Arabidopsis thaliana: one gene and its partner. The protein of the gene in region 2 interacts with the protein of the main gene of each other region in a pairwise test. Each region holds a gene or a part of one and is shown on either strand. Other genes may lie near its edges.

What was found.
Region 1: the proteins of GATA20 (region 2) and HMGA interact in a two-hybrid assay, tested with the Arabidopsis thaliana proteins (one large-scale study listed by BioGRID).

The regions. Positions count from the first base shown.
Region 1 is NC_003070.9:5,137,381-5,141,450, forward strand, and holds HMGA (high mobility group A), read right to left. Parts: upstream 2,088-4,070; 5' UTR 1,974-2,087; coding exon 1,890-1,973; intron 1,816-1,889; coding exon 1,285-1,815; 3' UTR 736-1,284; downstream 1-735. Other genes in the region: AT1G14890 (Plant invertase/pectin methylesterase inhibitor superfamily protein), read left to right, coding at 1-324; AT1G14910 (ENTH/ANTH/VHS superfamily protein), read right to left, coding at 2,548-3,285, 3,421-3,536, 3,625-3,703, 3,792-3,974, 4,065-4,070. UniProt on the Arabidopsis thaliana protein: Binds A/T-rich DNA with a highly dynamic distribution into the nucleus.
Region 2 is NC_003071.7:7,982,020-7,986,106, forward strand, and holds GATA20 (GATA transcription factor 20), read right to left. Parts: upstream 2,108-4,087; 5' UTR 1,999-2,107; coding exon 1,660-1,998; intron 1,137-1,659; coding exon 849-1,136; 3' UTR 537-848; downstream 1-536. UniProt on the Arabidopsis thaliana protein: Transcriptional regulator that specifically binds 5'-GATA-3' or 5'-GAT-3' motifs within gene promoters.

The sequences.
Region 1 (4,070 bases), on a different chromosome or scaffold from region 2:
TCACGTCGCGCTGCCTCAGCTGCTGTCCACGACTGCGTTTCGAACGTGGGAGATGCCGTGGATCAGATGCGTGGCTCCCTAAGGCAGCTCCGAGAGATGAACCACCGTCGTCCCGGAGATCCGGCGTTTAGGTTTCAGATGAGTAACGTGCAGACGTGGATGAGCGCGGCGTTGACGGACGAGGAGACGTGTACGGATGGGGTCACGGAGGAGATGGAAGACGGAGAGACGAAGACGGCTATTTGCGATAGAGTCGCCGACGTCAAGAGGTTCACGAGTAATGCGCTCGCTCTCGTTAATACCTACGCCAACAATGGAGCCTAACTAACTAAGCTAGGTCTTGAAATTCCTAAAGTTATAAAAACACTTGTATATATATATGTGTTAAGTTGTGTGCTTAGTTTATAATGTGTATTCGAGGCTTTGAAACCGAGTTAGAACTCTGAGTTTGGGTGTTCAAATTATACATTAATCTATGTTTGATTGTATTAATATTAATATATGTCATATGTGTTTATATGGTGTGTGCTATATGAGTAATGAAGATAATTATACATGGTTTTGATGAGTAAATTTGATACATGAACCTGGTTTTTTTTTTTTTTTTTTTTTCTTTGATGAATTTGGATATGATATGGATGAATTTTGGCCATCATGTCTAAGGGGAACTGAAACCCGTGAGATGATTAGAACATCTGACTATGACCCCAAAGTTTGTCTATTAGTGGCCCACTCTAAAATCTTTACGAAAACAAGGTTTTGTCCTTTTTGTTCACGGGGATGCCAAAAAGCTTCCATACTCTGTTCACAGTTTCTATTTCAATCCCTATTGATAATGATTACACACATTCGCTTCACAGATTTTTCTAATTGAATTCCCTTTGAAATTTTCAACTCCCGCGCTGATTCCACAGTGATTCTTTCTTCTGCTAACTGTAGCATAATTAAATTAGTGACAATAATGAATGTTTAGCATTACCAATTACATAGTTTTCCCCTCATTATTAAGTGTGAAAATGAAATCAAAGCAGCAATAATTGTTCAACAAGAGAACAAAGTTTCACATAACACAATGCAGTAATAATAATAATACACAGTCGCTAATGTTATATCTTATCTCAGGACTAAGCAACAACACACACACAAATTCTAAAGTTTACAATCCAAATACTGAAAGAAATCCAAATAAATCTAATTAAGCTAAATTAAAGCACTCTCTTACTCTCTAAGAGATTCCATTTTTCAGTAACTAAAGATTCCGAAATTGCATAAGTACCGATTAATTCAGCACCCAACCGGAGCAACCACCGTCGGCTTCACCTTCGGAGGTCTCCCACGTCCCCTACGCTCACCTGTCGCCTGAGCTGCCGGTTCCGGCGCAGCAACCGTCTCCGAATCTGTTCTCGGTCTCTTCGGTGGTCGTCCTCGTGGCCTTCCAGATCCGGTAATGACCTTCTCCTGGGGAGGCTCCGATGGATCTTTCGGCTTCGGTGGACGGCCACGAGATCTAGGCGGATCTGTAGAGACGACGGTGGCAGCAACAACAGCAGCAGCAGCGGCGTCAGATTCGGCCTGAGTCTTCTGCTTCGGAGGACGGCCACGACCACGCTTAGGAGGAGCATCTGGATCTGGTTTCATATAATTGTTCTTCACCATGATTAGCTGACCGGTTTTCTTCATCTGGTTGAGATGGTAGCTGAGCAGCGTCATGTGTGACGGCGGTAGAGTTTGTTGAGTCGACTCGATGTGCTTAGCAATCGTCGTTTTGTTGCAGCCGTTCTTATCGTTCAAGGACTCAATCGCTTCCATTATCATCTAAACACAAATTTCAACCAAAATTTCAGAAACTAAATTGAGAGAGATTGAGAGATTTTAGGGGTGTACTTCACCTGAGGATAAGGTGGGAGAGAAAACGACGGAAGTTCTGATGAATGCGTATCTGAAGCTGAGCCATGGTGGAGATCGAAGGCCATGTCAAGCGTAGAGAGTGTGTGAGGTGATGAAGGAAGGAATCTGTGTGAGGAGGGATTTTAAAAAGCAATTTGGGAAAGTGGTTTTCTCATTATTCTCATATTAACTTGTAGTGTTGATCTGACGGTTGGGGTTTTCAAACTTACGGGTTGATCCAACGGCTCTGAGTTTATAGCAGCTTTCTCGAGCAGGATTACTGACGTGGACATATGGGAATGACTTCTGCTGACTATTACCCTTAAATTACCTAATTCTCCTCCAATCTTCCTTTTTTATTCAACGAATGGCCATTGGTTCAGCCTAGCTGGATTACTAGAACAGAAAACGACATACTACGTAGCGTTTTTGCTAATCATATTTCAAATTATTTTGTTAATGTAACACAATGAGTTATATATATCTTTCATTTTTTTTCCACCAATGAAAATTCATTTATATAATCAATCCCGAGGAGTCTTTCTCTATTAGCAGAACAAGATTTGCAAGACTAGAAGATGATGTGATTTTATTACTACTCACAAACAATAGAATCATATGAGACAAATAAAGCATTTTGAGAAATATACGAAGATGGGATCACAAGAAGCCCGTGCTGCCGAAGGGGTTGTTGCTGTTATGTTGCTCATGAGCACCTGCGTTTACCGGGAACTCCCCAAAACCCGTGGTGTTTTGCGGTTCTGAAACCGGGACTACTGGAAATTCCCCCAAACCGGTGGTCTTTGACGGTTCTGATACCGGGATTACTGGTAATGCCCCAAACCCAGTGGTGTTTTGTGGTGCTGAAACCGACACTACTGGAAATTCCCCAAAACCGGTGGTGTTTGATGGTTCTGAAGCCGGGGTTACTGGTAATGCCCCAAACCCAGTGATGTTTTGTGGTTCTGAAACCGGCACCACTGGAAATTCCCCAAACGCGGTGGTGTTTGGCGGTTCTGTAACCGGGACTACTGGAATCTCCCCAAAGCCGGTGGTGTTTGACGGCTCTGAAACCGGTACTGGAAATGCCCCAAAACTGGTGGTGCTTTGTGGTTCTGAAACCGGAACTATTGGAAACTCCCCAAAATCACCAAAAGGATTTGCAGGGCTGGGTGCAACCTGTAGCTGTGGCTGCTGCTCTTGTTGATGATAGGTTGGCTCATAGAGACCGAATGGGTTGTTTACGGCTGAAGGCGGTGAAACACTGTCTGAAAATGCAAACAGGTCTTGGACCTCAAACGGATTGGAAGCTGGGACGCCATAGGCAGGCTGTTGGGCTGCTCTCAAGGCTCCATCGTCATATAGACTGTTCAGGGTGAGCGTGTCTAATCCACCCGCCTTGCATTTGTTGCAGAAAAAAATGTTAATGATTCAGAAGCCACAAAATCAATTCCCCAGAGGTGACATACGTTAACAGGACAATGGTACGTAATTGATGCATCCCATTATCACTAATACAAGAATACATCTTACCAGCTGTCTCTCTGTGGCTGCAGATATATCATTGCTAGGTGTTGTGACCAACGCAAGCTCCCATCCTGACGGATCCAAATCTCTTGCTTGCCCAAAACTAAACGGCGAAGAATCAACTGGAAACAGAAACATAACCAGAATTGCGACTAAAGACAAGCAAGAAAGGCAAACTTAGAGCTCCAGTACATAGACCAAGAAGCTCACCATCATTGGAAACTAAGGCCAAAGCTAGTGCATTTTGGTCCAGGATTGCTAACGGATCAGGTGTATCATCATGCAGACCCTGTGTGTAATACTGAGAGAATCAGAGACAAAAGGATAACAATGACAGAATAAAGAAATCAAGACCATATGTAATAAGCATAATTTACCAATAGATCATCAGTATCAATGAAGTTCTGTGGAGTTTCTACTGAAGGAGGAGACTGGGAAGAAAGTTGCGTTTCTTCAGAGGGAACAACGGCACTATCTGAAGGCGATGATGTTTCATGTTCTTCATGTGAAGGTCCAACATCTTCAGAAGTAAGACCATCATCAGGCGTATAGGTCAGAAGCTGTATGTTGACAAAGTTTTTAGAAATAAGTTATAAAAGAAAAATCATGGTTTCTGTAGGAGTAGGACCACAATGAGAGTATATATGTACCAGTGG
Region 2 (4,087 bases):
TGCAAGAGATTTTGGGTAAATATTTGCTGAGGTGGGAAGCATATTTTTATGTTATTTGTCAAGAACATGTTAATGTTCTGAAGCAGTTGACTTTATTTTATACTCACCAAAGACATAATTACCATTACTACAAGCTCTTTCAACAATTATAGTATCCAAGATTGTAGATAGAAAAACATTTCATTAGGAGTTTGAAATTCACTCTTCCCGGAACAGATTTTTAGCAAGTAATTTCCACTTACATTACTTTGCCTCATGACCCCTCACTAATTGTTTCACTCAGATTTGTCTCCCTTATAAGTGATCTCAATTCTCAAACTTGTCTTTTAAATACTTTTTTTTTTGTGTAGGAACCAAGAAAAGAGCTAGAAAATCCGCCAAATTTAAGTAACAATACCCTTTTGGCTAATTTTGCATTCATATGATATGAAATAAAATGCGAGGACGGTATTTGTATTTGCTAAAAAGAAGCAAAACTAGATCACTTAACGTTGCATCGAAAAATGTTAAAGACTTAAAAAGACGATATGAAGTAAAGTTGAAATATATGTATCATATACGGTCAAAGTAAGTGGAAACATCATGAAAAGGGTTATAAACTACGTATTTATCATTAACACCAATATAGCTTTCAAAAAAGTCGTGAAAAGAAAACACAAGTAGCTAGAGTCGAAAAAAAAAACTATAACAATAATGAATTTGACCAAGACTGGTTTTACTTTGTGTGATAGAATCTATGATAATTAACTTTTCATCATCATCATCATGATTTATATAATTAACGTTTCTTCTTCATCTCGTCAAAATGGTAAAGAAGGCGATCGAAGTCGGACTTGCTCACGTGACACTCAATTCCAAGACATAAAAGAAGAAGCCGTGACGTTATCCACGTAGGGATATTCCATCTCCGGAACCGGTGAGAAATATGGAACTCTTTGTGTGTTCTGATGAGCCCACGACGGCGACGACGAGGCATAGTGATGATGATGATGACTGTAATAGTTTCCACCTCCGTTGTACGAATTCTCTACTGGGACTTCTGCCGCTGATGAACCTCCACCGGAGATCGTTAAGTTTCTGGCCGTCGCACGCCTCTCCTCTTTCTTGAATCGGATTCCACACGCGTTACATAACGACTGCACCAAGTTAACATTGTATATGTTACATCCAAAATATCTTTGAAAATGTAGTTATTATAGACATGTGATTATATGGAGATTGTATAATAAATATTAGGGAACAACTTTATAGACTTTATACAACTTGAATTAAAAAGATTTAAAAAGAAATCACTTATTTTGTTTTATGGTTTAGGGTAAAGTTTATTAACAAAAAAATAAAAATAAAAATAGTTTAGGGTAATGTATTTATGGAAAAAAAAAATATAAAACAACCAAGAAAGTATATGATGTTACAAAATTTGATTAGAAAAATAATAGTAATTTTTCATAGAATAGTTCCGCATGGTATATAACAGTTTGAGTTTTTTGAAGTTTTGAATTGCCAAAATCATACTTTTTTACTTTCATTACAATCTAAATACTTTTTCAACAATCCATGTACTATTTTCATTAGGCATATTTATCTATGGACCTATGGTCATCTCGGCATTGACACTTATCACATTATCTGATCGTACATGATCTATTAATTAATTACCTTAGGTCCTTTTGGTCCGTTTCTCCATAGAGGAGTTGAAGTGGTGTCGCAGCTAGCACAACGGCGAGGTAGGCTATGAGCAACACCACCCTTCTTGTACGAAGAAGTCTTAGCGTTTCCTCCGTGAATATAAAAGTCGCCGGAGATGTTGTTAGAATTAGCAGAAGAAAATCTATGGTGGTCGTCGAGACGAGTAGAGGGTGTTCCAAGTGAGAGAGTGCAATCAACAGAAGTTGATGAAGAGAAATTATTATAAGGATCGTAGTTGTGGTGGTTTTGGTCGTCATTTTCCGAGGAAAAAAACATGGAGAAATTAGAGTTTGTTTGGTATCCCATCATGAAATTGAAGACTACAGATAGAGAGAAAAAAAATGGATAGAGATATGCGTGTTGTTTTGGTGGCTTTGTGATTTAAGTTACAAGTTACAAACTGAGACATGGTACATATATATAGACAGTTGGAAACTTAAGTAACGACAAAAGGGAATTTGGTCTGTGGTAGCTAAATGTGATCGAATCTATTAATGTAGTGCAGATTACATTATTTGTTACTTTATCTAAAGAAAGCAACAATTCTACAATGAAAATGAATATTCTCTAGGGCTTTAAATCATTGAATATTATTTTTGTCGGAGTTTCTTGGTATGGAAGACAAATTATTCGACAATTCTATTTTCGACGCCGATTTGATACAGTAAGCAATAAGACTTCGTCGGCGAGTTATGTGTGCTCGCAAGTCGCAAGAATTCCACACTGACATCAACCAAGAGTATATTTATTTCAGTTGTTTACATCCAAATTTAAATTCATGATATTTTTACTAATCCTATTCCTCGCCTTAGAAAACGTAGTTTATCTCCGACTCGTTTCATTTTTATTGGATATCTTCAAAACAAGTTTTCCATGTAAACAATACATGAAATGAGTAGTCTCCTTTTGATGTTTGTTTCAAATAAAAGTGAATACAAGCACACTAGTAAAGGTAGTTTAACATTAGTAAGAAAAATACAGTAGATTTGGCATTTATATATTTTGATGAACTTAAAAGATCTTATGAAATAATATCTTTTAGACCATCTTCATTGGACAACTTCATCTGAGACCATCTAAATATTAAACTAAGAAAATCAAAACCAATCAGAATATTACACATAGTTCAAGAGGGTCTTCAAAGATGTCTTCAGTGTCTGGTTAAAGACATTTTTGTTTCTCTTTCTTCATTTGTGTCTTTAATTAAATATTAAAAAACTGGGAAGACATCTCCATTTATCACCAATGGAGATGCTCTTAGTGCCGATACAATAAAGTAATAATGATAAGTGTTGTGTATCTGCAGTTTTAGTGTCGGACGGGGTTGGTCAAAAGAGGCCCACGTGAGTGACAATGTCACGGTTTTCTAAGGATCTTGTCTCTCTTAGATTACCAAGCTCCTTTCACTCATCCCTCGTCTAAACATTCATTTTCTATTTTGATATCGATCACCATAACAAAAATATTGAACTATGTATATTTGTTGTCAAATCTGAATTTCGGGTAGAGAAGATAATGTGGAACTACCATGCATATATACATATATACTTTCAAAAACCAAATTTAGAGAAGTCTTTAGTTATTTGTCGTTTTAGAACAATGTCAGTCATCACTACTATTGGACCAGGGAATTGAAAACAGTAGATCTAATATTGAAGCTTCTTAGACATAAAAATGTATATATGAAAATATATATGTTAAGAACTTAAGATAGTAGAATTATTATTATTATTTTTTAAAGATGATAGAAACTAAGGTGAAATAGTACTGTTTAAGCTAAGAACGAAAATAAAAAGGGTAAAGTTAAAGAGAATTACGAAGTGAGATTCTTGGCAATGATCAAAAGCAACATCTTGTGTTCTTTCTTTGGCTTGGGGAGCGAGAGATTCAATTGATCAGTCAAAGAAGCAAACTCCAACTCAAAATATTTTTAAAGCAAAAAAAGTACAAAAGCGAATAAACTCAACTGGATATATTACACCAAACACTCAATTGCTACTTCTTTTTCTTTTTTTCTTCTTCCTTTTCCCAATTTTGGGTTATATACTTAGTTCGTTCCTCTCTTAAAGTAGATGATGTTTTCGCCAAGACAAGAATATTAGTAAATAACTAAATATCAAGTCTTTGATAAGCTTAACACGAAAGCAAGTTGGCTTAAACGTAAGGTGATCTCTTCAAATAGTTTTTCTAATGAAATATATATGCATTTTTGGTTGAAGGACCAATGATTAAAGGACTCGTTCTAAAGTTAGAGACCAAAATTCGAGTTATAATTACAATTATAGGTGGTCACCGTATATTTTGCCGTAAATATGAAGAATACCTTTACTTTGTCCATTTCTTATTTTCTTGTGGCACACTCCAAATATGAAATGAAATTATACTTTAGTCAGGAAAT